4 linked regions of the Arabidopsis thaliana genome follow. Each later gene encodes a partner of the first gene's protein in a complex. Each region holds a gene or a part of one and is shown on either strand. Other genes may lie near its edges. The genes, in order: MED19A, AT5G03500, AT5G20170 and MED32.

Evidence for each region.
Region 2: MED19A (region 1) and AT5G03500 share a complex: the UniProt entries of both Arabidopsis thaliana proteins name them as parts of the mediator complex.
Region 3: MED19A (region 1) and AT5G20170 share a complex: the UniProt entries of both Arabidopsis thaliana proteins name them as parts of the mediator complex.
Region 4: MED19A (region 1) and MED32 share a complex: the UniProt entries of both Arabidopsis thaliana proteins name them as parts of the mediator complex.

What each region holds. Positions count from the first base shown.
Region 1 is NC_003076.8:3,950,901-3,959,505, forward strand, and holds MED19A (mediator of RNA polymerase II transcription subunit 19a-like protein), read right to left. Parts: upstream 5,286-8,605; 5' UTR 5,009-5,285; intron 4,444-5,008; 5' UTR 4,386-4,443; coding exon 4,358-4,385; intron 4,236-4,357; coding exon 3,946-4,235; intron 3,712-3,945; coding exon 3,475-3,711; intron 3,286-3,474; coding exon 3,226-3,285; intron 3,066-3,225; coding exon 3,015-3,065; 3' UTR 2,919-3,014; intron 2,477-2,918; 3' UTR 2,240-2,476; downstream 1-2,239. Other genes in the region: AT5G12220 (las1-like family protein), read left to right, coding at 1-39, 133-188, 409-583, 848-1,132, 1,249-2,114; CLE22 (CLAVATA3/ESR-RELATED 22), read left to right, coding at 6,840-7,151; AT5G12236 (uncharacterized protein), read left to right, coding at 7,248-7,382; AT5G12240 (octanoyltransferase), read right to left, coding at 8,220-8,273, 8,364-8,423. UniProt on the Arabidopsis thaliana protein: Component of the Mediator complex, a coactivator involved in the regulated transcription of nearly all RNA polymerase II-dependent genes.
Region 2 is NC_003076.8:874,497-882,086, reverse strand, and holds AT5G03500 (Mediator complex, subunit Med7), read left to right. Parts: upstream 1-3,711; 5' UTR 3,712-4,313; coding exon 4,314-4,337; exon of another isoform or gene 4,338-4,420; coding exon 4,421-4,561; intron 4,562-4,643; coding exon 4,644-4,713; intron 4,714-4,886; coding exon 4,887-5,053; intron 5,054-5,142; coding exon 5,143-5,216; intron 5,217-5,353; coding exon 5,354-5,414; 3' UTR 5,415-5,647; downstream 5,648-7,590. Other genes in the region: AT5G03510 (C2H2-type zinc finger family protein), read right to left, coding at 856-1,734; AT5G03495 (RNA-binding (RRM/RBD/RNP motifs) family protein), read left to right, coding at 7,062-7,082, 7,237-7,289, 7,386-7,535. UniProt on the Arabidopsis thaliana protein: Component of the Mediator complex, a coactivator involved in the regulated transcription of nearly all RNA polymerase II-dependent genes.
Region 3 is NC_003076.8:6,803,332-6,812,567, forward strand, and holds AT5G20170 (RNA polymerase II transcription mediator), read right to left. Parts: upstream 7,589-9,236; 5' UTR 7,399-7,588; coding exon 7,310-7,398; intron 7,222-7,309; coding exon 7,017-7,221; intron 6,857-7,016; coding exon 6,743-6,856; intron 6,539-6,742; coding exon 6,453-6,538; intron 5,962-6,452; coding exon 5,574-5,961; intron 5,492-5,573; coding exon 5,045-5,491; intron 4,936-5,044; coding exon 4,621-4,935; intron 4,541-4,620; coding exon 4,223-4,540; 3' UTR 4,044-4,222; downstream 1-4,043. Other genes in the region: SPX1 (SPX domain-containing protein 1), read left to right, coding at 1-36; AT5G20160 (Ribosomal protein L7Ae/L30e/S12e/Gadd45 family protein), read right to left, coding at 744-770, 870-1,001, 1,328-1,648, 1,769-1,771; AT5G20165 (kish-A-like protein), read right to left, coding at 2,631-2,692, 2,886-2,920, 3,035-3,103, 3,201-3,307, 3,397-3,399; AT5G20180 (Ribosomal protein L36), read left to right, coding at 7,981-8,135, 8,423-8,579. UniProt on the Arabidopsis thaliana protein: Component of the Mediator complex, a coactivator involved in the regulated transcription of nearly all RNA polymerase II-dependent genes.
Region 4 is NC_003070.9:3,969,866-3,976,839, reverse strand, and holds MED32 (mediator of RNA polymerase II transcription subunit-like protein), read left to right. Parts: upstream 1-3,545; 5' UTR 3,546-3,598; intron 3,599-4,006; 5' UTR 4,007-4,028; coding exon 4,029-4,484; 3' UTR 4,485-4,854; downstream 4,855-6,974. Other genes in the region: AT1G11770 (FAD-binding Berberine family protein), read right to left, coding at 1-1,161; AT1G11765 (Plant self-incompatibility protein S1 family), read right to left, coding at 2,519-2,932; LEW1 (Undecaprenyl pyrophosphate synthetase family protein), read left to right, coding at 5,352-5,399, 5,557-5,827, 5,897-5,958, 6,089-6,284, 6,365-6,461, 6,550-6,632, 6,846-6,853. UniProt on the Arabidopsis thaliana protein: Component of the Mediator complex, a coactivator involved in the regulated transcription of nearly all RNA polymerase II-dependent genes.

The sequences.
Region 1 (8,605 bases):
CAATCGGTATCCCACGTAAATTAATCGATCTTCGTCATGGTAAGAATCTTTGGGGACCTTTCCTTGGTTGCTTACAGTGACTTTTCGATTCCTGGATGATGCTGATGATTGATTTGATTGTTCTATTTGTAGAGGGTTCTCACCGTGAGCTCCCTGCACTCTCGGTGCTTCGGGATGCTGCAGATGAGGTACACTGTTTTCCTTCTTAATTCTGTTTGGCATTCTAGATTTCCTTATTTCAAGTATCATAGTTCATGAAGGTCTGCTACCCTGTTATTCAAAACGTTTGCTCTTAAGATCTTTTTTGAAGGATCCAAAGAGTCTTTTTAAAAAGATGTTTTATGTGGTGTGTTCTTGGACAATACAGAAGATTTTAACTTGCTTGCATACATTCGTTGGTCGTTGTAGGCTCTTGAATGGTTGAAATCGTATTATTGGGAGCAACAAAAGTATCAAATCCCCTTAAAGAGAGATGGAACAGCTAGCATCAGAAGAGAAGTCAAATCCAAACTCAGGAAACTTGCTTTCTCCTTGCAGCTGAAGCGTAATCCTCAATTTGACTCCCCTTTGGTCAAAGAAAAATGTAATACTTCTTTTGTATCTTGGATCTTGTGCTGGGGAAGGGCTAGTAAGTAGTAACACCAAGCAAAAAAATGGGAATGATCCCATCGGTGTCTTGCTTGTTTACCTCGATGAAGTTTATAATGACATGATACATTGGTTTTGGCTGCACTAGATTATTTTTCCAGCTTTAGAGATGGAAATAATTTTGGGTTGCATTTTCGTGTTTAACTTCGCATATCTGTTAATTCGTAAGGTCATATAAGGTTATTTTTGTGATTTTCAGGTTCTAATAAAAGGATAAGGAAGATTGTAAGCAGCCTTGTTGAGTTATACCCTTCTTTCTCCGCAGAAATTTCATCTGTGCTCCTTGAATTCTTACTCAAGGCCTTGGATTCTTCAAAGTCGACAGATCTTCAGAATAAGGCTGGGCAAGATTTCAGGGTCTTTCTAGATGAATGGAAACCTGTAATAATGGAACTCTCAAATAGAGAACCTGAGTTACTTTTGACTCTACTCAAGGAAGTCCTTGATATGATCCAAAATAATGAACGGAGAAGACATGAAACCGGTAACTATTGGTTTATCCTAAATGCTTTTTCTCTTAAGGATCCTCAGTTGAAACTTTAAATTGTTTTCAGATCGTTTCTAACATGTATGAATTGTATCTAAATTTGCATCTTACAGAAAAGCCAGTGGAAGAGGTTTCTCAAGTTGAGCAGGTCCCTTTCTTGTTTGCATGGCTTGTGAGTCTTCTCAATGGATCAAAGCATTTTCAGAGAAACAGTTCTCTAGAAGTGAAACCTCCAAGCATTTTCCTTATGGAACTTATACGTAGATGTCTTGTCTTGGGAGCCTTAGGATATGAGCTGGTTTTGAAATCAGCATTTCTACTCGCAGAGATTGTGGGAGGCCGTGTCTTAAAGGAGAAGCTCATAAAACTTCCTCTTATGCATAAAAGCTCTGCAATTGTTCCATTGAAACAGAGTTCTACTCTTGTAACAGCTAGTACAACGCTCCTTGAGCAAGAGAAGAATCTCGGTAATGCAGGCAAGAGACTTGAGTTCGTCAAACTTCAACTCTCAAAGAAGAAAGGTATTGACACAGACAAAACCGGTAACAGATGGAGAAAGGCAAAAACATGGAGCCCTTGTCCAATTGGTATGTTGCCTCGGATCATTGGATCTTCTGGACGTTTACCTCTTCTTGACAATCAGAATGCTAAGAGCATCTCAAAACAAGCACAAGGTAACAACAATGCGAAGAGAGGAGCTGAGTGTAATAGAAATCAATTGGAGAAATCGCCATGCAAGCGAGCAAGGAAGAGTGCAGGAGATTCTGAATCAAATGATGTGACATTGGAATCATACGAGGAAGAAGCTGAGATGGAAATAGAACATGCATATGAGGAAACTGAAACTGTAGCAGAAGAGAATCTGATGTGGAATGATGAAGAGGAAAGTAGAAGCTGCCTTATGATAGATGGTGAATGGAAAAGAGTAAATGATGGAGAACTCTCGGGGATGGCTTCTAGTGTTACAATTTGTGTTTGAGATTTCGACAGATGTAATCATATAATCCGACATATTTTTGAGAAAATAGTTCAGATATTTGATCAATTTTTACAGGCATAGTCGCAGACAGATAGACATTGTGACACTCAAGTAAAAGTAAATAAGTGGATTTGACAGTTACTTTTTCAACAACATCAATTGGTAAGTAAATTATTATACATGAATAGTAACGATTTGTGTTGTATTGAGTATATAGACAGAAAAGAGATGGAATAGAACACCCCAAGAAAAATGTTACAAATCTGACACCAAATCAATTATGATACTAAATTCTTCTTCTTCATTTCACAAATTTCCCCTTTCTTCTTCAAGGAATGAATTCACCAGTTTGGGCTTTTAACCTACAAAGCCAATCATTTTGTTCAACACAACTTGAAAATATAAGAAAGTAACAAAAATGTAAGCAATGATTTGTGTTAGCTGAGACTGTTCTATTTAGAAACACATCCTATCTTTGATATGTTCTTTCGACAGGTTACCCGATTTTCATTAGTTATGTATCACGGCAACTTTCTTAAGACCAGAAAAGAATCCAATACCAATACAGAAGTCGCACAGAGACACATACAATGTTCCCTTGCAAATGTTGCGTTATTTGGATTTCAGTAACTTAAAGAATACAACACAAAACTCAAGTATCTGCCTAAAAATATTATGGGTTCAGTTCCCCTAAAGTATAGTATCTGGACTATAACAGATGTATATGTTCTATGAAGGATCCCGGAATACCAAGAACACCGAAAAAATTGTACAAAAGAGACAGGACAGTACACAGATGCTTACCTAATAAGCTGTCTACAGTGAGTTGAAAAGTGCTTCTAAAGTCTCCATGACACCTACTCGAGTGCAGAATACAAAATTGGAATGTCTACAACTTTTTTAGCCAGCAACCCTTATTGCACCCACCTCATCAAGCTTTGAGCTTTTATGCTGCAACAGGTTCAATCAAGAGCTGAATCAATACAATTTATCAAAGACATATTACTAGTTCTCTAGCACCTTTGTGCAAAAAAAACATTATGGTGGAAATTTCATGTTGAGTGTTAATGAAGAACGAGAAAAATTTGAGGCCCCACTTCATTACCATTACCTTGTTTTTTTTGTGCCTCTGAACGTCATTAAGATCTTCATCTCCATCGTGTTTCCTTTTCTGAAATATAAGTGAAAAGGCTCCATAAAAACTCAATAAAATGTTCTAGAGCAGTCTCTAGATCTGCTAATTTCATGCCAAGCAGGTCAAAAAAGCAGCCTAACTCAAGAGCAACAAATACAAAACTTTCCATTAAGCTATTCTTCTTTGGAAAGACAGACACCTTCAACAAACAGACATGTTCTTTACCTTATCATGATGTTTCTTAGAATGATCACCCGAATCATGGTGGCCATTTTTGTCCTTCTTTCTGTCTCGGTCCTTGTCTTTATCTTTATCTTTGCTTCTATCTTTATGTTTGTGCTTGTGCTTCTTATGCTCTCTATCTTTGTCTTTATCCCTGTCCTTGTGTTTCTTATGTTTCCTGTCCCTATCTTTCGACTCACTTTTTGACTTAGACGGAATTGTAGGAGCTCCCTTCTCTGCCTGAAAGAAGAATAGTACCAAGGTCAATCATCTCCATAGGACACCCAGATGTAATTCACATTACTAGGGAAAGATTCTCAATTAACCAAAGAACTTGATGTTACAGGAAATAGGACATTCATTACTGAGCCAGTTTTTAAGTTCAATGTAATGGCAAATACTGTTACTCTTATGAAAAGAAGGACATTTAAAACTCAAAACACCAAGAGAGAGTGAGAAAGATCAGATTCTTACTGGGGGTAATTCAACAGGAGTCATATCATTTAGTTGGAAAGACTCCTGAAGCTCATCTATATCAAAAGGCTGGATGCGAATATTAGTCTCCCGGCTCTGTGATATGCTCTCAATAAGCTGATCTAATTGCATTCCTTCTCCTTTTCTGATCTCTGTGTCCCCAACCACATTATGAAGATAATGGGAATCTGATAAAGAAACAGGAAGAGATTTCTTGCAAAAGAATTCATGGTGTTGCACTAGTTTGAATTGAGATATAAGATCCGCAGCACCGCACAACTCTCTTGGACCTGCACTTGAAACAAACAACACATTGACCTCAAGGTGAGCCAAAGGGGAAAACAAAGGACAACGAGCTACAAAAAAAATAACTTCACGAACTGAAGAAGCTCCAAATTCGAAACCAATGTACCTCCAAATTTTAAACGTTCAGGCTCCATCTTCTCTATCGCACTCTGAATTTCTTTTGCATGATCACTGGCTCACTGCATATATATCCTACACAAGGAAACAAAAATCAGAAAAAGCATAGAGTGATAAGGAAATAATACTACTACAGAAAGCAAATTCAGCTTCGATACTATCTAAACTAACAATTCTGTAGCACAAACAATACAAAAGTTATAACTAAGCACCAGCTCATATTTCATAGTGACCAAAACTAAGAAGTAAGAAAATCTAATTTAGCATTAGATGCTATCAATTCTCAACTTTTCTGCTCCAAGCTCAAAAAAAATGAAACTAGCATCAGAAACAAAACCCTAGAAAGTTTTCGGAAGTTTGTAAAAGTAAAATTAGATACCAAGTCCATACATTTTGGATCTAGTCAACAAGAAAGTTTCATCAATTTGTTCTATTTAGGAATGAAGCTAACAAAAAAAAAATCAGACAAGCGAAGTAATCACTAGAAACGAAGATTAGACTCGATAAAAAAGCTTCAAGCAGAAGAGAAATTCGAAATTGAGGAATTTGGAATTCGAAAACGAAACAAGACAGAGCCCAATAGCAAAACCAAAATCTCAGATTCAATTGGTAGGAGAAAGAATCGAAACAATCAACATACACGTTTCTTTCGACAAGCCCAGATCTCGTTTGAGAAAGCTAGCTAACGAAAGCAGCGAAACGTGAGGGGGGAAGTGTTTGGGTCTTGGGCTTGGGTATCGAATTCCCGCCTAAAATTTTGATTTTAGCAAGTGATCGAGAAAGGACAGAGATCGAAGAAGGTTCGAGAGAGCGAAAAAGCGAGACTAGTTAGGGTTTGAGAGTCTTTTGTGTCTGATGACCAATGAGAGAGGAATTATTCTCTGTTTTCTTCCGTTGGCTTCTCTCTCAATATAATCAACAAATTACAGTCAGCCTTTTTTTATTATTATTCAAGGGCTCCGCGTGGGCTTCACGCGCTCCTTCAACACGGCCCACTTAACCAGACAAATCAAGGATCTTCCATTAGCTAAACCGTATTCGAACCGAGTAATGAATCTCTCTTTAACCGGTGGTACTCTTATCCAAACAAAAATATCCACGACTATTTATATCCGATTTAGATTGTTATCTCTTTCTATATTTTTTATTTACTTGAGTGAAAAACATGAATTGTTATTCTAAAAAACCATTATAAGACCGAAAATTATCAAAACATAAATAATGTAAGTTTTCAGTGTTTTGGGTTGGTCGGACAGGTCTAATCCGATCGAGACATGCCTAACAATATCTTCTACAATTTAAGATGAAACATACGATGAATACATACGTGTATATTTGCTGATATAACATCAGAGACAAAGTGCTTGACGAGAACAAAATGGAATAATGGTATTTTTGGGGATTTGAGTTTGTATACCTGCTCTCTACTATGTAAATGATGATTTGTCTGCTGTAAAATAAATGGGAATATAATATATAAAAACGTGATGACTGATGAGGATATATTGAGGTACATATCACATATGGTGTTTCTTGACAAATATTGGACGTAAGTCTTTGTTTTTTCTTCTATAAACTTTCAGCTTGATTTCTTAAAAACATTTGTTGCACAAGTTGTAAATACGTTTATCGAAGGTAGAAGATGCATATTGGAGAATCATATCCATATATGTATCATGTATGTAATTTAGTTCTTGTGATACTGTTTTCTTTATTCTCTTTCTTAACTCATAATAAAGTAAAATTAAAAAAAAAAAAGTAATCTTAGAAAGACTAAAAAACGAGAAGCAAATATAGATATACAACATTTATATAAAATGGAGAGGAAGAAGATTCAAGTGGTAAGTGGATTTTTTCATGTGTGTGAGTGAGTGTAAATGTGGGTGAAGAAAAAGGGAGTGAAGACAACATCATTTTCCCCAAAGAAAGCTAAGTCTTAGAATCATCACTCCAATTCCCTTTTTGGCCCCTTCTTCTCTCTTTTCTATTTCTTTCTACTTTTGACCCCCTTCACATAATTACCTTCCTCTATATGCTTTATTATCACACCCTCATTACTCTCTAAAACTAACCACTATAAGTATATTATTAACCACACTAATTACTACCACTTGACCTAGTAATCCCAGCTAAGACCTTTGGAAATGATTCAACACACAAAAAAAACTTTCGTTAAAAATTAATGATATATATATTTACAAACCTCTATCTAGTTTCTCTTCTCTTTATTTGTAGAAAGTGGTGGAGAATAAGAAAGGGAGAGCAACAAACTTTTAGAGGAAGTCATAGGTTAAAAGCCCCATAGCTTTTTCTTCCATCACTTTCATTCCTCTCTTCTCATTCTTACAGACTTTGAGAGAGAATTTATTTAAGAGATCTTGATCAGATCTTTTATACTTGCAAAAATCGATTCTAAATATATAATCTATACCTTATAGAGAAACTCTTCATATCTTGAAGATTCCTAAGAGATGGGAAATTACTACTCTAGAAGAAAATCTAGGAAACACATCACTACAGTTGCCTTGATCATCCTTCTTCTTCTTTTGTTTCTGTTTCTTTACGCTAAAGCTTCATCGTCTTCTCCTAATATACATCATCACTCAACTCATGGAAGCTTGAAGAAATCTGGAAATTTGGATCCAAAGCTTCATGATCTTGACTCCAATGCTGCGTCATCAAGAGGATCAAAATATACTAATTATGAAGGTGGTGGTGAAGATGTTTTTGAAGATGGCAAGAGAAGGGTCTTCACAGGTCCTAATCCATTGCACAATAGATAAATTTTTGCTTTTACAAGTTTTTGTGAATTTTTGTCTGAATAAAACTCATTTGTGCAAACACAAAAAACATATTTATTTACTTTTTTTCTTACACTGATGATATACACTATATCGTACGTTATATGCCGTGATTGTAACTTATGTGTTCTATGTGGTGGGATGAGATTGAAGAGTGTTGAACAACGAGTCTTTGAAAATAGTAACTACTGCTTCTCGGTTTTCTTGATTTAATAGTGTATCGATAACACGCATAATTATCTTTTGGAACCCTTGTTTTTGAATATGAAGCTGGTGGAATTCGTGTGGTGTGTGTGAATATCTTGATAATGATAAATGAACATCATTGTTAATGCCAAATGAAAAAAAAAAAAAACAAGAATGAACATCATTGTTAAATTGAAAGAACTATAAAGCTAGTCTATTACAGAGTTGGATGTGAAAGATGTAAGATTATTACAGGCTATTTCATGCTTACGATATTGAATAAAATTGGTTTGAATAGCATTTTATTAGTCTAACAAAAGCTGTAAAAAGAGAATCATTGAGATGGGAAAACCTATTTGACACTAAATCACTTACACTAACAAACCACATTTGTAACAAAAGTAAATTGCAAACATACTTAATGTTAACTTCATCTGGAACAGACGAATAATTTGGTACTCTACTGTATAATCTTATTTACCTCGAATCATTGACTGAGTTTTACTATGAGTATACAATTTACTAGGTGTGGGAAAATGTAAGAAACAGTAACGAGAGAACTGTCGGAAAATTGGTGATAAAATGCAGGGCCAATAATGAGATTTTTCGACATAAAATTAAAAAGCTAAAAACAAGAAGTTAACATTTATAGATACCAAAAACATTTATAGATACCAAAATCAATAACAATTCCGATTGAAATATGGAGCCTTTGAGAAAGACTTGAAATCATAACTAGACGAACACGAGAAGATAATTTTTGCGCACTCATAAATTCATAATTACGATAAAGAAAAAGACAAGACTTGGAAGTGTCTCCACATTAACAAACTTTTGGAAGCACATCATATAGAAGACAGAAGTTTAAGAGTTTAGTAAATATCGCTTTGCAGCTTCTGGATCCAATTCTTCATACACCTGAAACCAAAACAAATGACAAAAAAAATGTCCCGAGCATTAGTAGCTATCTGCAATAAATGTCTTAAGAAGAAAATGTACAACACATACAAGTTTCTTGTGGAGTTTCTCGAAAGCCTTGCAAAATCTCTCTGCTTCAACCCCACCAACCTGCAAGAATGTGATGTTCATTAAGGAGTAGAAGAACAACTTCATATATGTAGAACATTTCAGTATATGTAGTAGAATCAGAGATGAAACAAGAATCAATTCTTTCAGTGTACAAGTTTCTAAGTTGACAAGTAAGAACAAACAAGATTTCGATCTCCATTCTCTGGCAAATCTCTTATTCA
Region 2 (7,590 bases), 3.1 Mb from region 1:
AAAAGAAAGATATAGATGAGTCATTGAGTCATAAACTATATAAAGACATGACATGATCGATATAGAGATACCATTATACCATTAACAGTACGTAGCGTAGTAATAGCTCCTATTTCTAGAAGATGTTGTAGCATATATCATATCAATAAGTTTGTAACAGTTTACTGTTAGTTTCCCATACTACATAACATGATCATGAAGATTCGTTTGTTGCTACATGAATGTCTTGTGATATATGTCCAAAATCTCAAGACATCGGTCAGTATATTATCGTATTTTCTAGTGAAAAACACATTCGATAATAAAAAAATTCGATAGTATATAGTCGAAGCTAGGGATCAAATCACATCTACTGTATACTTCAACATTGGACTCTCAAAACACGCTTTAGATCCGATTTTTGAACGAGTCTTTGTAGATTATTATAGATGTAGTCTTTTGATTTACTCTAATGAAAATGATATATGTATTATTATATCAGAAAAGAATCTGAAAAAACGAAAAACCCCAAACGGAAGTGAAGTGTATCCAAAGGAGTTAGTGGCGGCTAACAAACGAAGTGACTTTATGCGAAAGTCATCGTCACATGCTTCTTCCGTTCTCCAAGGAACATCCTCAGCATCTTTCATCATTCTCCCAAAGTTAAGTATCACATACTTATATACTATTGTGTATATATTGATGATTATTAGAAATGTGCTAAATTATGGAGCAATGAGTAGTTTCAAAGAATGAAATAATTTGAAGTTAATTCAATCAATGTCAGATTACAAGAATGAATGGACAATAATAAGAGAAGGGTTAATGATTTAACATATCAATGTAATAAAAAAGTAATTACAAAGAACTACTTAATTAGTGATGACAATCAATCAAAGAATTTGACGCGGCCGTGAAGAGAAGAATCTGATCTTTGGATGCAAACGCGAATTTCGGTTTCTCGCAGCATCGTTCATCTTCGGGTGCTGGAAGATTCAGATCTAACTGGAGAAAGTTCTTTGGCCGTATAGATTCTTCATGGTGATGATGACTTGATGATGATATCGCTGTTTTGATTGCTGAAGTAGCGTTTGCGTTTATTGTTAAACCTCTATGTCTCCTCATATGTCCTCCTAAGGCTTGTCCTGAAGAAAACTCGGCCTTGCAGATTGAACATTCATGTGTTTTCTCCGGTTTCTTGCTACCATCACTACTAGTCACTTGTAGGGAAAGAAAGCTTCCTACGGCTCCAGCTTCCACTGTTTCAACCGTAGACGCAGACGCCGTTTTCTTCTCGACGCATTTGAAAACGCTAGCTCCAAGTTTTGGCTTCTTGTGACTAGCCCTGTGCCCTCCTAGCGCTTGGAACGAATGGAAGCTTTTATCACACGTTTTGCACTGGTAAACACCGTCTAGCCCTAACCCTAGAGAAGCCACCGGTTTCTTGTTGCTAAAGAAACCCATTCTCTGCATCGACAAATGATCGTCGCTGCTCTTTGCTTGATGTCCTTGCGACAACAAGATCAGACAATTCGCCATATCTTCGTCTTCATCGGTAGCTCCTTGGAATTCTACTTCACCAGCAGCTTCTTCTTCTCTTACCTCCACTGATGATCGTTCACCGCTACAAACGCTGGATACTGCAGCAGCGTTCATCATAAGAGGAGACGCAGAACGCTGACGTTTGGTGCGTTTGCCCTTGATGAGGAGAACAAGACGCGCGTGGTCTCCACTCTCCTCAAGAACACTTGTCATGATCCTCCGTTTTTTATTTGCTCTCTGTATTTCAAGAACACAAGAGGTCGTATATGTATATATGGAGAGAAGTATCAAAGAGTGTTTGGTGGGTTTGGTTTATATGTCTAAGTATTTATATATATTTGTATGTGATTGTATTTGTTTATACACACAATAGTATTGTGTGTATATATAATGTAATGGGTAAGAGAAAAGATGAGAAAAGAAGCAAACCCAAAATAACTTTTGGTGAAGGATTCCTTTCTGGAAGTTTTGGTTTGCAAGCCTGGAACCACTTGTTGTTCTCTTCTTGTTTTTATTTTTTTCCTTTCAATTTTTTTTAAATGATTTTCTCTTTTTTTGGTTAACTTTTGTTTTGCTTGTCTTATGAATCACATAAAAAAAAATACTAGTATTTTACTTATTAAATACTCATAAGCATCCTTATAATTTCAAAAGACACACATCATTATAGCTAAAGTAACAAAAATGTGGATTCAATGTCAACACTAATCTTAGAAGATGTTATTTTATTTTCTTTCTGAAAATGAAATTAAATCTGTGTTTTCTGTTCAAGAAGGTGTCATTCTACATATACCATTTTTTCTTATTAATAAAATGAACTACAATTTTGACACTTGGAATGTAATGTATTATATTAAGAAGAATCAAACTGGATTGCGTATTCTAAATATGCCACTCAATTTATTGATTTTTTTTCCTTTGATTTCACATTATCACTAACTAAAATCCTAAAACTTTATAAATAATTTTATATTGATGGCTTGAGTCATCCACAAGTAGTTTCAACACGAAACACAGTACCACAACACACACAATTCAAGCATATTATAAATTCCTGCAAACTTATTACGTTTTGTAACAAATTACATTAAAGATTTGAAACCAACTATTATATATAAAAGCTACTAAAGTACAAATTTAACTTGAAAATACGTCGAATTCTGTTTTTGTTTCTTAATACTACTAATCATTGCGGATATATGTACACTTAAGTTGCTGATTAAATAATTAAGTTAATTAATTGGAAAGTAAAAGGCAATCGAATTTTGGGGTCGAGCAGTTCATGTGCAGTTGAGCCAACCCACAATTACACAACACACAATTATGAATCATGATTCTAGTTATGTATACAATATTTAGTTATAATGATATTAGCTAAAACGAATTAAATATATAATATCACTCCCTATGTTTGCGCCTCTTTCTAAGAAACTTTGATTTTTATTTTGGTTATCCAATTATTTGATCAAACCATTATTAATCTTGTGATTAGCTAATAATATGTATTCGATGAAGTAACCTCCCTTATCGTAGTTTGTAACTGTAGTCTAGGTCTTTGTAGTATAGTATACTAATAAACTCGGTGACAGCAATTTATAAAATTCAAGAAACACATGTTTTTTTAATATTCATTCTACATAATGAGTTTCTTAGAGCTGGATTGATATCCAACTTTTACTCATTCAACTCTATACACATTAGTTGTCTTTGGCTCTCAATGATTATCTTTTGCTAACGTGTTACTATACATACAATAGATCATTAAGAAGAATATTTTTGAGTGTATTGTGAAGCTAGTATCATCACAATTTTAAAATGAATAAATCAGGAGGAATTGATTTAAGTCTTGGCGTCGAGGATTGTGTGTGTGAAAGAGAGATAGAGAATTGCTTGGCCGCCAAAAGAAGCCATTACTTGCCAACTAGCTAGCTTCACTACTCAACCTAAGCAAAGCATATACTTTATAAATAAATAAATAAAATCATAAACATAATTAGTCGTCACCCATCATACATTCATCATCACCATCCTAACAAAACCTTTTTTACAAGGCTTCTCAAAAACCGTTAAGTAGTTGTTGCAACTTGCAAGGATCACCTAAACAAATTATACCGAAACTTGCACAATTGAATTCCAATATTTTAAAAACATTTTTCTTTTGTCATTTGAAGCATATAAAATGGTTCTGAATTCTGATATAGGTGGGTGGAACAGAGTCTTCCCCCATATAGCAAATCCCTCAACGGCTCTAGAAATACGTTTTAAGCTTCACGAGGAATAAGAAGATTAGGAATATATGGGCTTAAAGCAGGCCTGAACTAAATTAAAGGCCCAACTAAAAGAGAGGAAACAAATCTCGATTTGCTTTCTCTGGTGAGCGTGTCTTCTTCCGATCGTCTTCTCCGGCTGCGTGAATTCTCCGCCGAGCCATCTCTCTGGCGAATCTCCAGTGAGTTCTATTATTTTCACTCTGTCTTTTATGCTTCCCGTGAAAGGGATTTTTTTATTTCTCTCCCTCAGATTCTCCTTGTCGCCACCAACTCATTCGTCTCCCTACCCATTTGTGGCCACTGGATTTTTTGTATTGACCTTTCTTTTTTCCTCATGAATCAATTGAAATCTACTGTTAAGCATTTGACGATTTTGGACAAATTGGTGGTGATTTAGGAATAACACGGTTGTGGTGGTGGCGGCTACTTCAACGTGACGATGACAGATTAGTTTCTAGTGATGACAGATTAGTTTCTAGTGGTCGCAGAGTTATTTGGTAGTGATGACATAGTTGTATTCTAATGAGAACAGATTGTTTTATGGCGGTAGACGGATTTGTTTTTGATTAGAAACCCTAATTTTAGGAATCTGTTACTGATTTTGCTTAGTTTTTGATTTGGATATGTAGAGAATAATGGCTACAGCTACATATCCACCTCCTCCTCCATATTACAGACTCTACAAGGATTTCTCAGAAAACACTGATTCTGCTCCTGAACCTCCTCCTCCGATTGAAGGCACCTACGTCTGTTTTGGAGGCAACTATACTGTGAGTCTCCTCCACATTTCCCCCTCTTTAAAATCTTCATCTTTATGTGTTTTTAGCAATTTTCAATTTTTTTGGTTAGTAGACTGAAGATGTTCTTCCAAGCTTAGAAGAACAAGGAGTGCCTCAACTTTATCCAAAAGATTCTAATCTTGGTATGTCATTCTCCTAACTCTGTGAAATCAAACTCAAAATGCAATTGCTATTGGCTGTCTAGAGTATGGTTTTTGGTTCTTCCCTTCATTGGAATCAAACTTATTACATGAGTTCATTTGCAAGTTATGTTCTTTGAAAGTACCTCTTTGAGTTCAAATATCTTTGTGTGTAGATTACAAGAAGGAACTCAGGTCACTGAATAGAGAACTACAGTTACATATATTGGAGCTTGCTGATGTTCTTGTTGACAGACCTTCTCAATATGCGAAGAGAATTGGTGAAATTTCTTCAATCTTCAAGAACTTGCATCACCTTCTCAATTCCTTGAGGCCTCACCAAGTAAAGAAGCTCTCATCTTTCGATTAATTACAACATGGTTTCAACACTTTTTGTTTTTTCATCGTTTTGATCTTTCTCTTGTTGTATAGGCGAGAGCAACGCTTATTCACATTATGGAACTTCAAATTCAACAGAGGAAACAAGCTGTGGAAGACATTAAGAGGTTTGTATATGCTACTTAAGTTTTCTGTCTTTATGGTGTGTTAATAATTTAATATCAATCTATCATCTGTTTAAAGATTCTTCAGAAGCTTTGTTGGTTGTTCTTATGGGTCCGTTTGATGTTTTGGTTGTGTGCAGGAGGAGAGAAGAAGCACAAGGACTTCTTAAGGATGCTTTCGTCACTTTAGATGGTCAATAAAGTATACTTTTTGTTAATCCCATTTTGTGTAAATTAGCGCTAATAACCTATGCCCTCGAAACTTTTTTTAATTGATCCTGTGTGTGTGAGAGAGAGAGACAGACGTGTGCAATCTCATGATTCAACAAGTAAAGCCTATATCATCTTTATTCAATGTTACCCGTGAACCGGCATTTAGTTCCGCCGGTTAGTGCGGTTCAACATTTATTATTACAATTTCGGCTTAACGGGAACTATTATAACCATAACGGATTCATAAGAAGATTAGACCAATATGGGCTTAACGCAGGGCTAAACTAAATTGAAGACCCGACAGTTTGTTCGTAACTACACGTAAGTATCTGAACAACAACAACAGCTTTATAAGGGAATCAACAAAAAATAGTTGAACAAAAAAAAATTAACCTTGTTCAAAGCTAAATCCTGTCAAATATCTTTGGAACCCTAGCAGTCGGTCTTGTCAATTTATCATCAGCATGGACGAATCCGCCATCAAAGTAATCTTCTTCTCCTTATGGACTCTCCTCTTACTCACTCTATTTCTCTTCACAAGAGGATGGAGATGAAGATTAAGATGGATATGGACAGGAGAAAGAGGATGGAGATGGAGAATTAGGAGGGAGATGGAGAATTAGGAGGAGACGAACCTCTTTGTTTTTTTATAATGTATTTACCTTTGTTTGTTTTTGTCTTTGCATGTTAAAAGTAAGTAAGCTCAGTAATCATCACCTGCCTTGATCATGTATGATATGTCATTCTCTGGATGTTAGAAAAAAACAGTAGTAAGCTTAATCTATTAACGTTATCTGCTTTCGGTATTACAATGCAACCTTGTTTTCTAATTTTTAACAAAAATGGATCCAAAGCTATCTTTGAAGGTGATTTTAAACAAGTCATTCAGTTGGTCAACGGGAAGAGTCTTAATTTTGGATTCGGGAAGCAAAAGCCTGGCGACATCGGTTTGAAGATATCCAGTTTGTTTGGACTCCAAGATCAAACAATAGTCATTTTATTATCATTTTTATGCTCCACAATTTATTATTGATGCGCTACATTACCAAGTACTACAAGCTTCAACTTATAAAAAAAGAAGAAGATTAGAACCATATGGGCTTAAACGTAGGCCAGAACTAAATTCAAGGCCCAACAGTTTGTTCGTAACTCATACACACGAAATGTCCCAAACCAGAATAAAATTAGGGAATTAACGAAACAAAAAAGACAAAGAAACCTAGTTCAGAACTAAATCCCTAGATCATAGCAGTCGTTCTTGTCAATTTATAACTGATATAGGAATAAGAAAGAGGGTTAAATGGACACGTGGAGGGTGGAGATTAGAAGTTGGTTTAATGGCTGAGATTGTTTGGATGCTAACAGAAGAGAAAAGAAGCGTTAAAAGGAAGCGAAGAGGAAAAATAATCATTCATGAGATTTGTGTTGAATTGTTATCTTCTTCTTCTTCATTTGTCCTCTGTTTCTCTGAGAGTTCTATTTGAATTCTCATAGCTATTTCTTCATTGTGATAGAGCTGTTTCTACTTCTAAGCTTTATCACATGAGATTTGGATTCTCGTTTTATGAACGACGATTCAATGTGTGTTTGTGATTGGATTAATTGAGAAATTGTGGTTTCTCTGTATCAATAACCATGGACGAATCCGCCATCAAAGTAATCTTCTTCCCCTTATGGATTTTCTTCTTACTCACTCTTTGCTTAACCTCTGTTTCTCTATTAATGTTGTTTTCTTTCTCCACAAGTAAGAAGAAAAATATATCAAGTACGCGTAGTAGAATCTCTGATTAGATCTTTTGTTGTACCTTAGGGTATGAAATTGCTGCAATTGAACGAGATTGGTGCAAACTCTCGAAAGCCCCGGTAAATATATTATCTTGGGAATTTTATTTTGGTGGTACGTGCTGAATGATCATATAATAATATTAACTCTCCACCTGCAATCAAAATTGTTGCTAGTATCCCTTGGACGAAGATTTCCGTGGAGGGATATGACACTAGGCTCCGTGAGTATACAGTCAAGCTCGTGTTGGAAAAACATTTCGCTTCATGCGGAAAGATCACACATATTTATGTTCCCAGAGACTTTGAAAGGGGTATCCTCAAGAGGTACCGTACTTTGTGGCTTCGATTTTCCCCAAAAAAATATATAAACTTTGTATCC
Region 3 (9,236 bases), 2.9 Mb from region 1:
AAGAAGATTCCATTGTTGGAGCAAGAAGCCAAATAGAGAGTGAGACAGAGGCACACTCGCTCTATTCCACTTTTTTATACAATAGAAGAAGCTAACAGATTAAACAAGACATTATCATCAATGTACACAAAAAGGCAGAAGAAACTATAGGATCATGTTTCTGGATATCATCTTTGGTCGGTCATAAGTCCTTAGGTTACACAAAACTGCAATGTAACTTTGTTTCTGTGTTGGGTGTGTTGTAGTTGATGTAATATATACCACTTCAGATTAATTATTGATTTCTTCTTTTCCAAAGTCATATGCTAGATATTTCAAGTTCTCTACTACTACATATACAAGTTCATAATCCTCTTCAAGAAGAAATGATGACTGCAAATGATACTAGTGACTCGATCTCAATTCAAGGTAAGACTTTGCATAATGCAACAGACCAATTGATTTCGTATTCAATCTCAATTCAAGTCCTTCAATTTTTATTTCAATTTTTTTGTTCGTTTTGTGATAGATATCAAAACAAGTTCTTATAAATAACACAATGATTCGCTACAAACCAAAACCAGAAACCAACACAAATTCTTAAGAAACCAAGTTGCAGAAAAGTGAATTACGTTACAAACTTGAAGAGAAGATAGTAGAATAATGGACGGTTTTTGATTTGGTAGTTGCCTAAACAAAACTTCAGTCAAAGCCTTCCCATTCGCGGAGACCCATCATACCGAGCAATCAATTCAGAGAATGCCTTAGATCAGAAGCTTCTCAATAGCATCCTGAAGAAATGTAAAAAAAGAGTTAATGATTAACCAATTCTGTGGAATCAATGATGGTTCAAGGTTATAAAGAGAGTACACAAGTGAGGGCTAAGTTACCTTGAGATGTTGAATCTGTGATTTCAATTGACTAGCTTCGTTAGATGTGACTGAACAAGCGATAACAGGTCTAGTCACACCACAGGCTCTTCCCAAGGCTTGCTTTGAAGGCACAAAGACATAAGGAACATTCTACAAAACATTCACAAAGAAAGTAAGAATATAGAAAACTAGTATATAAGAACAACAAAGCATTACAGAATCAAAAACATACAAGCTAAACAAAATCATAAAAGACAATCATAAAGCTGTCATTTTAAACTCCAACAAGTATGAAATCAGAGTTTAGTTAACAAAATGATATACAAAACTTGGCTGAACATTGGCACAAACTAATCAAACTATATCCTCAGCAAGTAAACTTAATTCTCTTCTATGAACTAAGGAAACAAATATCTCATTTGCTAAATAAACTGGTGTATAATAAAAGAGAAACCCAGAGAAAGAAGAAGTCAAACCTTATCCTCAGCAAGTAGGGGAAGATGAAGAAGAATCTCTAGAGGCTCAGCATCTGCAGCCATGACAACAAACTCGGAGATTCCACGATTAAGAGTCTTCGTAGCTGAAATGAACAAATTTAAATAAATCAGGAACAACTTCACAAACATTAAACTCAATAAATAAGAGAGACAAACACACATGAGTAACAAGCGGATACCTTCATTAGCACCCTTCTTGAGCTGCTTGTAGTTAGTAGCTTGTTGAACGAGGTCAAGAATTGTTATCGATAACTGAGAATCTGCAAGCGGATACGCTTTAGGGTTGACGACTTCTCCGGTCTGCAAGAAGAAACGAAAACAAAAACAAATTAAAACCCAAATCAGACAATCAAAGAGTAAGATTCCTTCGAAAACACTGCAAGATAATACCGAAAAGAAGAAAGAGGAAGAGAGAAGTACCATTTTCAGCTGCGATGTCTAGGGTTTCAGAGAGGATTAGGGTTTTAGAGGCTACGACTTTCTCAGCTTGAATATTCTGAATGATAACTTAGGCTTACGCTGTTACTTATATGCTTGTCGATTTTATACATCTTTTTAATGGGCCTGGGTGATGATATACTTCGGCCCATGTGAACTAACCTTAACCGACAGAACTAGTTTTGACTTTGGGAGTTTGGTTTTTTAGTTTCTTCTTTTGTCGGCGAAATTTTGATTAAAGCCCAAAAGGGTAACCATGACTTCACCTTTGTTCTTTTTGCTCGCATAAAACTGATCGATTATCCAAATTGACTGATAATTTTACAGCTACCACACACACAACAAACTTTTATTAACTGATGCTCTCATTAGTTCAATGAAATTAGTAAACTTGAAGTTACGTATGTGATTACTCTCTTCCTTTACGACAAAGATGCGTTTTATTAGCTGGTTCTGGTGTCTTATGCTCTACTAATTTCTATGGTTGAGCTTTATGGACTTGTCTCCACATTAAAATAACAGACACAATTTGTTCCAAATACAAGACCATATCCATAATCCAAAGAGGATAATATTCTACTCTTTCAGTTTCATCAACAACCCCTTGGAATCTTTTGCATACAGAAAAATGAGCATCCCAAAGAAGTAAAAATCTACAAGAACTGGATATGTAAGAAGTTGACACTCAAAAGAAAATGATCGACACACCCATCATGAAGCATCCAGCGGAGACCCAAGGGCTCAAACGCTCACCTGGTACAAGTGATGACAAAGCAAAGTTAAGCAACAGAATGTTCGGCGATGGAAAACAAATGGCAGTAAAAGTAGGAGGATATAGACTTAACTATATGCCATCATGCATATGCTTAAATAGGAGATCGACCATGGGTTTTAAAGCATTAGAATCTGGTATTCATGAGTTGAATTTATAGTACAATTGTTAGTAGCTGCATTGATTAGTAACGAGTTCTTGCTCCTAGAAAGCCTATCACTACTTTCTATAGAACACATGCAAAGAAATATTGTTCAACACAATGTTTTTAGAAAGGTTTTGAAATCACAAGAGATAACTGAGCTCCAAAGGGGTGAAAAGGCCTACCTATTCTAGCAGCCTTCCAGAAAAATCCTCGAAACCTGCAATAGTAATTAATCAAGCAATTTCTATCATTAATATGCATAGAACAAAGTGATGACTGAGGGCATTAGATGCAAGCTATAAATACAAAAAAAGCACTAGGATGAAGTAACATTTGCAATCTAAAGTAACAATATGCAGAGAAATCTGACAAAGCATCTTTAATTTGGCAAAAGACAATGCTTGAAAACAATAACCGGTGTCAAAGCTCCAAATGTGTTAGTGTTATCGGTTTTGAGAATAAAATTCACGAAAAAGGAGAACAAAGAAGGTACAAACCCAGTTTTCTGCTCTAAAATGGCAGGGAACTGCATCTTCAGATATGTGCATGTGCAGATCACAAGCAGCACCACCGTCAGAAACGAATGGAAATTGAACAAAGCTGACTGAATTTATCAAAGATAAACAAAACTCTTAGCTCAAAATCACTGAAATTAACAAAATTTAACAATGGAACAGAGAAGGCAATAACTACCATTGTATCGGATCACTGAAGCACTTGAGAAGCTAATAATTGTTTCCTTGAATCTGAAATAACCAGAAGAAAAAAAACAATAATGGGAATCACATGAGAATCGATTCGAAGACACAGACATGCCCAAGAAGAATCATAACTAAACACATGAAAAACTGAGCAAGTACAATTATCGTCAAAACCTAACAATTTATCACTACCGAGATTTGTAGAAGAATAATCAAGGGAATATGTTCATCTATTCGTCACTAATAAATCAGATTTACTATATATAGAAGCATCTGTGAATTTCATAATTATCAGATCATATAGTGAATCCAACTCCATAACGGTGACTCTCTCTCGAGAGAGCAGCAAATCAGAAAATTGAGAAATATCGATCGGTGGATGGGATGATACAAAAAAAGGGAACAGCAAACCTGAAGTTGAGCTGAAATCGATGCTAATGGCTAGAGAAATTAGGGTTTTGAAGCTTGAATCTTAGCAAAACAGATCAGCGAGACGTCAAGAGAGGGATCGAGAGACGGAGGAGAGAAACGTTCGCGTCAGAGTTATTCTCGTTTTCTCTACATATTTCCAATTCTACCCCTTTCTTCCTTTAAGTACTAAAGTCATTATGATTTCAAAGATTTTTTAAAAAAGAAAAATTGATAATATTATTTGAAATAAAGATGTTTTATAATAATCATCAATCCTTAATCCATAAAATCCACATTTCCAACTATTCAAAAAAGTGATGTTTGGGCTAGACACTAGAGTCTCACTAAACCATTGTAATCTACAAATCTTGAAGAACTAAACATGTTCACTACTTGTCTTTCAGCATTTACAATCTCTCTAAAGCATTGCGACCAGTACCACACAAGTTGATCAAATCCATGAGAACAGAGTACAAGACATCCAGAGACAAATGACCCAACAACTTCCTACTCTCCGACACTCCTTCCCTCTCCTCTGTGCATCCATTCTCCATCACTAGCCACCACGAGATGCATCCTTTTGCGTCTTCCGGGTTTACATGCGCCACCAGGCTCACTCTCTCCCCTTCCACTATCTCTAACGATAGTGACAGAAATTCCCTGCTCGCTTTTGTCCCTACCGTCCGTGCTTCCTCCAGTAGCCAACACACTATCTGGCTCGCCACCTTCTCAAATAAATAAACCGCGTGTTTAAGGGACCGTGTTGCTATAGACATGATCAACTTTAGGAAACGAAAGAACATACCTGTTGGAGAATCATCACGGGAAGGTCGGCCACGTCGCACTCGTATTTGTTTATAGAGAATAGATTGCAGGAACTGCTTTTGAGTAAGCCAACCACATTGGGCGTGCATTCCGCTTCAACACTAATACAATCATCCTTCACCACCACTTTTGTCCGGAACTGCGTCTTAAGATTCCTCTTACCATCAGGAGACTGGGTTTCAGACCTTCCTTGGGGGATGATTGATGGAGGAACAGTCATGAAGACAGTCCATGACGATGTCCGAGAATTCCATGTAGGATGAGATATCAGATGAAGATACGGGACCTTGCAGACCTGTTCAATGAGGAAGTAACCATTTTTTTTAAAGCATGATCAAAGATGACAACAAGTTTCTTGATAGAGAAGGATCATTCAATAAAGTTTAGCACATCAGGGAAAATACCACGCTTTCAAGATGCACAAGAACTCTATTTGAGAAGATTCTATGAGTCAAAGATAAGCAGAAATGGTCAAGAAGTCCGGAGTTGCTGTCCTTTTCTGTTTGATTGGATGCTCTGATACTTTTTGACTTGAGCTGATCTTTAGCTTTTCCAAAGGCATGCTCGTGAAAAATTTGTTGCAAGTATATTTCATAGCTGGTGCGATTAGGGAACCCTAGCTTCTTCAAGCGATAGTCTCCTCCTTCTGCTGGTTCTACTCTGCCAGATGATTCAATGAGCAAGGTTGCAGATTCCGACTTCTTGATGCTGGGATTTTTGCCTGATGGGTGGAGAGACACAAACAGAGAAGCTCCTTGGCCGATGCTCATTTCCATAAAATTTTCTCGTAGTCCACTTATGTTGAATCCCACACCTTCATTGAATGCTTCACGATTTAGCATGTCAAACAACTGGTAAGAAGACCAAAGAAGTGAGAAATAGTCGTGAAGAGATATACCAAGCGTACTACAAGATATATGACAAAAATACCACCTGCTCAGCAAAAATTGATTTATGCACCTCCCTCAGTAGCGAATGAGTTTCTTTAACATATTTGTCGTCACTTGCAGACAACTTCTCTGATGTTCCAGGGATATCGTGACCAGTAGTCGAGTCTATGTGCTCATCAGATTCGTTTGAGTTGCCAATCGGATTTAAGCCAACATACCCAAACCGAAGAGAGTACCATGAATCTTGGGGTACATTAATGGCCAGCATACCAGCTGAATCATGATCTACACGAATAGTGGACAGTGTAGATGGGCGAAAACCAGAAGTCGGATCATATAATGAACTGTCAGAAAGATCAATGGTGAAGCCCTCATTGCTGGCATTTGAAGCAAGCATGCGTTGTCGCTTGACTTTCCAGTTCCGCTGCAACCTATAAGCTTGTTAGTATAGCAAAAATAACCATTTGCACGTATAAATCAATCTCTATTTTGGAAGCTGAAGTCAGCTTATCATTTTATACAAATTATGAGCAATTTCAACGGAAATTCTCTAATTTGTGTTGGCATAATCTTAAGCAGTCACTACACAACAAAATGGATGTTCCTGAAGTACTGTACTATGCAGGTTCAGTAACAGAGACGGTGTAGAAGTCAAAATTTAGAACTTTTTCACATTAGACAAGAATAATAAAATGCTTTCACGTTTATCAGTCATAAGTCATAACATATTACAAAACCTACGTGCGTAATAACTCTACATCCAAAATTCGGACGCTAATTATCTGTGCACAACACAAATAGCTATGACATTGTAAGCTACCTAAAACTAGTATCAAGAATGCAAACAACAAATTCTTAAAAGTTGCAAAATAGTACTAAGGAAAATAGCCACTGACATTAAATGAAAAGCAAGTACTCGAACCTGATAAGAGCACCATAAAACCTTGCTTCACGATTGATTTTCTGCTCTAAAGCTTTTGCTGATTGTTTAAAGTAGTTTCCTAAATTCTGCAGAGGAAACAGATATTCAGAAGTGAGATAAGCATACCATCCAAAGACAATTATATAGTTAAAAAGCTCTTTACGAAACCAAGTTAATGTTTCCAACAGTTTCTCAGGATACTAAAAAGTGCCTAACTAATAACAATTACAAGAATCCTTCCATCTTTAAGCAAAGTTAAATTGCACATAAGAAAGTAAGCTACTGATTACCCGGTAGCCCTGCAGCTTGGTAGCAGTAGACACAGCAAGATCCGAGAGAATCTCATTCGGCATCGGCTTAGGTCTGGTCATCCCAGCAACTGTTACTGCATCATTTGCTTGGACCTTCAAAGATAAAATCAGAAGATAAATTGTTTAAGTTTTACTCTCTATTCAAATATCAGAAACCAAACTTCAGCTCCTTCCATTCAAACCAATAAAACAGACACTGTAAGAGCTATGAATATCCCAAAATTCTTATCTATTATCAACAAGAGTCACTCACTGTGTCGATAAGGTCAATGATGACAGTGAGCTCCTGATGAGCCAATTGCAAATTCTCAACCATTCCCTTCCATTTCCATTGCTCCACGCTATCCTTGGAGCTTTTCTTCTGCTTCTTCTTCTTCAGCTCATCTTCCTCTTCCAACGCCCACGCGAAGTCTATTCTCCGAATCAGCGATACTCTCTTATCATCGTAATCAACATCACTACACGTCAAAAACAAAAGGAATAATTTAGAAGCAAAACAATCTGGGAAGATTTTGTCTCGTTTCTCAAACACCAGACAACACTTACGAAGGAAAACGCTCGGCGCCATTTTCTTCGATAGATTCCAATCGTTTAATGGGAAGCCTGTCGAGAGAGATTTCCATGTCGCTATCCATATCGTACAGAAAAAAATCTTCCCGGTCAAAAATTCAGATTTTCTAGGTCGACGGTAACACAGTCCGGCCAAATCGCTTCAACGCTCCAAATCGGATATTTAGATCTAATAATCCGGGTCAAAAAAATTCCGGATCATTTTTACGGGTAAAGCCCATTAAAAGCCCAAAATATGTTGTACTCTGACTGTGCAAAACTCCTCCGTAAAACCCTTTCATTTGCATTTGGGAATCGATTGCTCTTCTTCGTAGTCGCCTTTGAATTCGCAGGTATTTTTTTGTTCTTCGCTTGATGGGTTCTCGTTGATTATCACTCGATTTCGTATCTGGATCTATTATAGGGTTTTCTCTTGTGTGATTCCGTGTAGTTAGAGATGGATGCTTCAGATTCGTTTTACTTTTGCTTCCATCATCGGATCAACTAAGGATTGCAGTTTTTCTGGTAGATTAAGTAGAAATGATATGTTTAGAGGATACAATCCTTAGTTTTGAATCTTAAAGTTGAATACTTTGAAGAGTTCTCTTTCATTTTCATCTAATGAGTTTTGTGTTAATGATCGGTTGTGAATTGCAGAGTGAGAAGCAATGAAGGTGAGATCATCTGTGAAGAAGATGTGTGAGTTTTGTAAAACAGTGAAACGTCGTGGACGTGTGTATGTTATATGCTCTTCCAATCCTAAGCACAAGCAAAGACAAGGGTTCAGTTCCTTTGCTTATGAAGGAATTACACCTTCCCCTTTGTAAGTGAATCTTGTATCTGGTTTTCGCTTTTGAGTAATTAGGTGTCTCATTCGGATTTTGGACGGGTTAAATACAGTGTATATTGACTACTGTGAATCACTTACTACCCAAATTTTGTCCTATAGAATCATTGAATGAAAAGTGAGGATCTATTTAGAGTCTGTTGAACAGTTACTAAAATACATTATAGTGGAACATCACACAGAAGCATGAAGCATGTGCACTTGTTTTCCTTCGCAGAGTTGAGAGTAACTTACTTAAAAAGTTATTTGGGATTGTAAAACAGGTTTGCTGAGCCGATTGCTAGTCAGGAGTTGGTGAGGCTGCCTGGTCAGGGGGTATCAGCCGGACTGGCATCACTTTTACACAAAAGGCCTATGCCAACAGCGTATTTCGGATGGAGGTCTGGTCTTGCATCCATTCTCTTCAAACAAGGAAATTAGGATGTCAGCATTTCCCTTTTTATTCTTCAGATTTGTAATCGCAGTTTTCTTCCAATTCCTATGAAACATTATTGTATATCTCTCCACTTTTACTTTGGTCAGTCGTATGCTCCTTCGAGACCTGTTTGATTGTGCCTCGCATGACCTGAACAAAGAGATATATTATGACACTCGAGTATTTGTTTTTACATTTTCCACTGGAGCATATGTTAGGGATCAATATGTTTTTCTTTTAGAAAACTCTGGTTAGTGATATCCACATCGATTACATGCCAAGGAAATGAGCAAATTGTGGTTGAATTTGTATTGACCGCGTACCAAGTAGTTTGAAATATGTTGTGGCTCATTTGCGCATGTTTATAGTCAAATTTCACTATTCCAAAATGAGGCTGCACAAAGCACACCCACTAAATGCGAATCAAATACAATGAAACTGGAGAGACGGAGACTTCTCAACGACAACGACCCTTCTCTTTCTCCACCGTTGAGCACTCGGCTCGTAGGTCCTACGTGGTGGTGTGAGAGGTCACAGGAAGCCCACTCTGATAGGCATATCCCATGGGCCCCGCTTCTGGACAGTACTACTTTTGGACATAACAAGCCTTCTTTATTACTTTTTGTTGTAGTTTTCCCTCAGTCAAATCGTTAACAGCTTCA
Region 4 (6,974 bases), on another chromosome or scaffold:
ACCATCTTTAGTGATCTCTTTCTCAACGAAATCAGATTTCCTTTTCCCGAAAGTCGCCATATCAGGGTTTCGGTCCAGTAGAATCTCCGGTTTAATCTGCGTAGCGTTATCGTTGTTTGCCCACCACATCACCGACTGTATCCAAGTCATCTCCGTGCAGTTCTCCTTCTTCAAACCAAGCTCCGGGAATTCTTTGGTTAGCATAGACATAACAGTGTTTTGGTCCCCCAAGAAGAGAGCCACAACCGATGCTCGAACCGTTTGCATTTTATTCCTAGTCACCGGCTGCAACAATAGCCTCATGAATAGACCTGGATCGGTCTTGGGTGCAACAAATTGCCATTTATGAACCATTTCAGTAGCATTTTCGACTAAGTTTTTCTCTACTCTGAAAACGGTTACGGTCGGTGGAACAGGGACGAGTTTGATCTTGAAAGCTAGGATAACACCGAAGCTAGCACCGCCTCCACCGTTAATGGCCCAAAACATGTCTTCTCCCATTCCTTTCCGATCAAGAACCTGTCCATTAACATCAACGATTTTGGCGTCGGTGACGTAATCAACGGAGAGTCCGTATTTTCGGATCATGTTTCCGTAGCCACCACCGCTAATGTGACCTCCGGCTCCAACCGTGGGACAAACTCCGGCGGGGAATCCATGACTTTTGGTTTTTTCCCAAATCCTGTAGTAAACTTCACCGAGTGTTGCACCGGCACCGACCCATGCAGACTCTGTGGCGGGGTCGACGGTGATGTTACGGAGATTTGACATGTCGAGGACGAAGAAAGGAACGTGAGAGATGTAGGAAACACCTTCGTAGTCATGACCACCGCTTCGAGTTTTCAGTTGGATGTTTAGCGATTTCGTGCAGATGACGGCAGCTTGGACGTGACTCTCGGAACGCGCCGCGATTACGATCGCGGGTTTCGGAGTCGCTGTGGTGTTGAAACGCGCGTTACGGATGTAAGCGCGTAAGACGGGGGTGAAAGCGGCAGCGGTTTTTGGTAAAACGACGTCGGCTAATGAGTTAGGAGGAGCTTTTGTTTGGTTTGTGAAACATTGGAGAAAGTTTTGGTAGATTGTTTCAGGCGGAGGTTCGACGGCAAGAGAAGTAGAGATGAAGGAGGAGATTAAGAAGAGAATTAAACAAAAGATCTTCATTTTTTTTTTTTTGATTGGATTCTATTTGGTGTTTTCTGTAGTATAAATAGTTACATGTAGTCTTTAAATTTCTGTTGTGATTCTTATCGTTGGCCATTTTTAGGATTTGTTGTATTGGTCAAGGTTTCTCCTGTTTTTTTTTTTTTTAATGGTTTAATTGCTCAAGATTTTAATATAGTCAAGTTAACTATAGAAAGATCACAAGTTTCAGAAGTCAAGTTAACTTTAGAGATTTTAATATAGTCAAGTTAACTATAGAAAGAACACAATTTGTTTGAAGGCATTGTGAGAAAGATAAATTTTTAGAGGTATTGGATTAGGTTGTTTTGGGAAGAGAATAACATGTCTTTCAACCTTTATCTTCCTTTTTTTTGAGGGATCAGTTATTTTTGTTTTCATATTAGAACTTGAGATATTAATGTTCTATAAAACGGTGAATAAAAGACCAAAAATGTTTTATACTACAAAACAAAATTATTTTTGATTCAATCTAGAGAATGAAAAAAAAGAGTTACGACCATGACAAGTTATTTGTTATTCAAAATAAATTTTGTTGAAAATAATTTAATGTTCAGAATATTTGTTCTAAAATACATTTAGAATAACAAATCTTGAAGCGATTTTACACTTCGTTCTAATGACATTAACAAACTGAAAAGATATACAAATATAACGTTTAGCAATCTTTTTACAAAAACATAAGGTTATACTTTTCAGCTAATAAGAGTAGAAGTTATTGTAATGATTTGAGAACAACATGTATTTTCGTGATGCTACTAAATTAATATGTTTTGAGAGTTTATGAATTTTGAGAGTAGTGTTGTTATATGGGATCTGAAGCATCCAACATAGCGAAACATCATTCGTTCCATTTTTTTCGGTGGCATTCTTTCGAATTTGCGTCGAGTGTCACTTTTCTATCTACATAAACCAAAATTCTAGGCACTGAATGTCAAAAAAAAAAAAAAAAAAATCTAGGCACTATAATAAATGCAAGGAGGATGTATAGCTGATATATGATCTTACAAACAAAAACACTTCGAACAAAGGCGAGAACAAGTAATTAAGCAATGTCAAGAGCTTGTGGCGCAAACGTAATGTTTTTTTAATAATGGCATGTTATTTTTTGTTCTTGACGAATTCCTTAAATTGACATGAGGATAACATGCACATAAACAAATTGTCCTTCTTTGAATCATTCTGAAACTTCTCCCTTACACTTTTCTTTGAATGTAAAGAGTGATTCTTACATGAAAACAAAGAGTAATAATAATACTTTACAACTATATCAAATCAAAGATTTGAATAAGCATTTTATAAATATTGGATAAACATAGGAGAGTTTTATCCAACATCCCTAATTCCAATCATACATCTTCCGCATACGGTGTATCAAAGTACTGTGATAGATCCCATCTTCTTGAGCAACATAATTATACGAGCCACCATGAGGCATTCTCTTGTCTTGAACATATGCGTCAAACTTCTTTTGTACCTTGTAATCAGCTCCTTTATACATTGTACACCAGAAAAGTGTTTCTCCCATAACGTCATCGTGGAAACTAAAACCCCAATCTTCTCCAGGTTTCATATATCTTTCACGAACATCATTGTCCCCAGATTTACAACGTACCTTGAGCCATTTGTTGTGAGAAAGACTGTTCCTGAATAACAACGACGTCTTTTTTCCTTTAAATGGATTCGAATGGCCATATGCATTGCTAATCATGCATAGGGCAAAGACAACTAGAAAGATTGAAGTATTTTTCATTTTTTCTTTCTAGATGCTTAGAGGTTTTGTCATCGGAGTAATTTTTTATTTACGGTATTGTATATATAGACATATATGTATGCTATTTTTGAATTTACGTTCTTATTATATATTGCTCTCTTATTATTAGTATTTTCTATTAATGATTTGCGGTATCAAATCGTTTCAAACACAACAATAGATATGGATGGTTGAGTGGAGAACAATATATGGATTTAGATCTTTGAGTAAATATTTCCAAAGAACATTTGTTTTCAACACGGACAGTAATTTGACGTGATACATTTACCAAATACTACCTATTATATTCTGCCAATTCGTTACAAACAGATAAATAATTCGATTAGTATATACATATCTATCGTTTAATTGTGATAACTTTATTATTATATTAACACTAAAGTTGATTAAAATCGTCTTGATTTCGATTAGATGTTTTATTTTATAACATTAAACACACATATTTAAAAGATGAGAAATTAAATTGTATGTATATGGAATTTTAACATTAAAAAAAAAATCCAAATGACCAATCCGGTTTATGTCGGTCCGGTTTGTATTAACCAATCTTAATTTCAATTTTTACCATATAAACCTAACCAGACTATTACAATGAAGAAGAAGAAGAAAGAAAGTGACACAAATCGGACTCTCCGTTCATCGCCGGTAAGTTTCTCCTCTTTATCTCCGGCGGTTTTGGGCTGATTTTTTTAGATTCTGTCTAAAACTGCTCTAATGATTCAATTCCTTCACGAGTTTACGGATTCTATGCCGTGAATTTGAACCCTAGGTTTGCGAAAGCAATCGCGAGTTTTGCAATTTCGTTAAATTTCTGTCTCAAAGATGTAATCTTTTTGATCATTTAGCTTCCATTGCTACCGTAGCATCTTATTCTTTCCCTGAGGTTTTGAGTTCTCTCATTCTATGTGTAGCGTTAACGAGAACGAATTAAGATTTTTTGAGGTTTTTAGGGTTTCTTATTTCCAGATACTTTTGCTGGGATCTTACTTGATTCCTTTTGCAGTTTTTTCTTGTTTAACTTGAAATCTCATGATTGATACTTGGTTTGAGCAGTTATTTGAAGGGGAGGGATCAAATGGATAACATTGTGGACTCATTGAACAAAGCTTATGAGAAGTTTGTTCTTGCTTCAGCTGGTGTTCTTGAGTCTAAAGAGAGTGCAGGTGGACAAAAAGCTTTGCTCACTGATACTGCGTTGGAGAATTTCAAGGAGAAATGGGAACTGTTCCGTGTGGCTTGTGATCAAGCAGAGGAGTTTGTGGAGTCAGTTAAGCAGAGAATTGGATCTGAGTGTTTAGTTGATGAGGCTACTGGTTTAACTACTACTGCAGCAGGTGGCCAAGCACCAGCAGCGGTGACTGGTGCTGCGACTAGTCTCCCTCCCATTAGTGCAGTAAGGCTTGAACAGATGAGTAGAGCGGTTCGATGGCTTGTTCTTGAGCTGCAACGTGGCTCTGGTGTAGCTCCTGGTTCTGTTCATTCATCCTCTACCGGGTTTGATTCTAGATTCTCTGAAGACTCGACTCAATAGCGTGCCTAGTTAGTGTTAAGTTCGACAACCGCAGCTCCATAACTCTCGAGTCAGTCGTTGTGATGGGAAGAGTGGCCTAATCAGTGTTATGTTCTGTTATTTCATGGGATTGAGCCAAGCTAGAAGCAACACTGGGGGTATCATTTAGGACTTATGACTCTTACTAAATATTGGGCTTTTTATTCTGAATCTCAAGTAAAGAAGCTGTTCTTTTTTTGTGTGATTCTTCATATGTTATTATGTTTCTGTTGTTTCAAAAAGAATACTAATTTTGATCTTGTACATGATGTGTTTTTGGTTTTGTATTAACCATGATTATCAAGAGTTTAAAAATGTAAACGAACTAGTATAATTTTGAGTTTTGATTACCTCACGTTCACAGCAAAATCGTGATAAACGTAACAAAAACATGAACACTCACAACAAAACCGTGACAAGAAAAGTTAGAAACACACTTAAGACTTAAGTTATAGGGTTTGAACCCGAGACGTCTCACACTCCTCTCAGATAACAGAGTTAGTTTCGCAAACTAGAGTGATTTTTTGCTAAGGTTTAAGCAAACGAATCGCCAAAACCAGGATACAGAGGCTAATAAGATCATCTTCAAAAGTGTCTCACTTTTTCTAACCTCGCCTCCAAAGATTCTTCCTTTTCCGATTCCGATGAAAAGGAATTTTGGGTTTTAGGAAAGTTCGATTGGTTGGTTTGGAAACATCTCCCTAACACACGCAGCAAACACCTTCGTTGTTTACGGAGACAGTCACTTTTTGTGTACGTCTCTCTTCTCTTTGTTAATTCTGATTTCTGACAACCCTTTTGTTCAAATTTCTTCTGATTCTGTTGTGTGTTTTCTGATTTTTCAGATATATGGATTCGAATCAATCGATGCGGCTCCTCAGTGCTTGGATTGGTCAAGTGAGATTTTTTTTTGTATTCCTTGATCATTGACAGGCTTTAGCTCATTAATGCTTCAACAAGGCCTATGGAATTAAGTGTTTAAGAACAATTTGGTGTTGCCAATTTGAGTCTTCAAGCCATAACTTTGTTTCTGTTGAATTTTTGTATTCCACAGATTGGTGATCTTGGTCTTAATTTGCTATGGCGTTTTATACACATTGTTGTGAGCTTATGGTACATTGTCTCTGGCATATTTGAGGCAATAGAAAGCTATGCCATAACGTTAGGATTGAATAAAAAGTACGGTTCCATCGATCTTGAGAAACTCCGGTGTCTAGCTGTTGTAGTGGACATCGAAGCAGCTCAAGATGTTGCCAATGTTGTTGAGCTTTTGCAATGGCTAACCACCATTGGGGTTAAACAAGTTGGTCTATTTGACTCTCAAGGTACATGCTTTAGCTACTTATCTCGTTTTTTCACGTTCATTAAATGATTGCTGATGTTGGCTTCTTTAGGTTTATTGAAGAAATCCAAGGATTTGATCCTTGAAACCGTTCCAGGTTCCATGTTGTTAGAGGTATATTAATCTCATACCTTTCATTTAGTTTGCTGCTTTACTTGTGAATCAAATCTTTAGCTTATGTTGTTAGTTATGTAGCTCATGATATAAACTTTACCTTGTCAATGTTTTTGTTTTTCTTTCCCAGGAGATTGAAAAGGATGTTGCGCCTGACGGAAAGCGCATTGCATTAGAATTCATTTCATCTTCAGACAATAAAGAAGCTGTTATGAAAGCAGCCAACATACTTCTTCAGAGATACTTGAAATCCAGCCATCCTGAGGACGACAAAGGGGAAGACTTTTTTACAGAGTCTCATTTGAATGACGCATTAAGAGTTGTTGGTTTGTGTTGACTCTCTCATATTGGATTCAAGTCATTATTAAGTTTATTTCCAAGAATCTGATCATCAATACTATGGCAGGTGAGAATGTGCATGTACCCGATCTGTTACTGGTTTATGGACCTATAAGGAGCCACCTCGGTTTCCCTGCTTGGAGACTTCGATACACTGAGATAGTGTACGTGCTTTTAACTCTTTTTCTCTTATATCTTTAGAGCTAAATCTCATAGAGTTTGTCTTTTTTCTCGGTATTTGTTTGTTGATAGACATATGGGAACTTTGAAGTATATGAGATATGGTTCCCTTTTGAAGGCAATTCACAAGTTCACAGGAGTCCACCAAAACTATGGTAAGTCTCTCATCTCCCACTACTTTATATGCTCTTCTCACACACACAGTTTAGATACTAAAGTTTCTACCTCTGAGCTGGACTGAGTCACCTTTTTGCCTTTTGAGTCTCAAATCTTTACTCCAAATGTTTCCACCTATGAATTTGATTGAGCCACCCACCCCTAATTATTTTATGTTGCTTGACTGGGATGGTTCTGGTTGTTCTTGACAGGAACTTAACGGTGACTAGAGAGCAGAGTTTCAGAGATCGATTTTTGGTTTGTGATTCACATATTTGCAATGAATTCTAAAGGAGAGATTATTGGAGAGCTTTTGAGTCAGTGCAGCCACTACTGTTCCC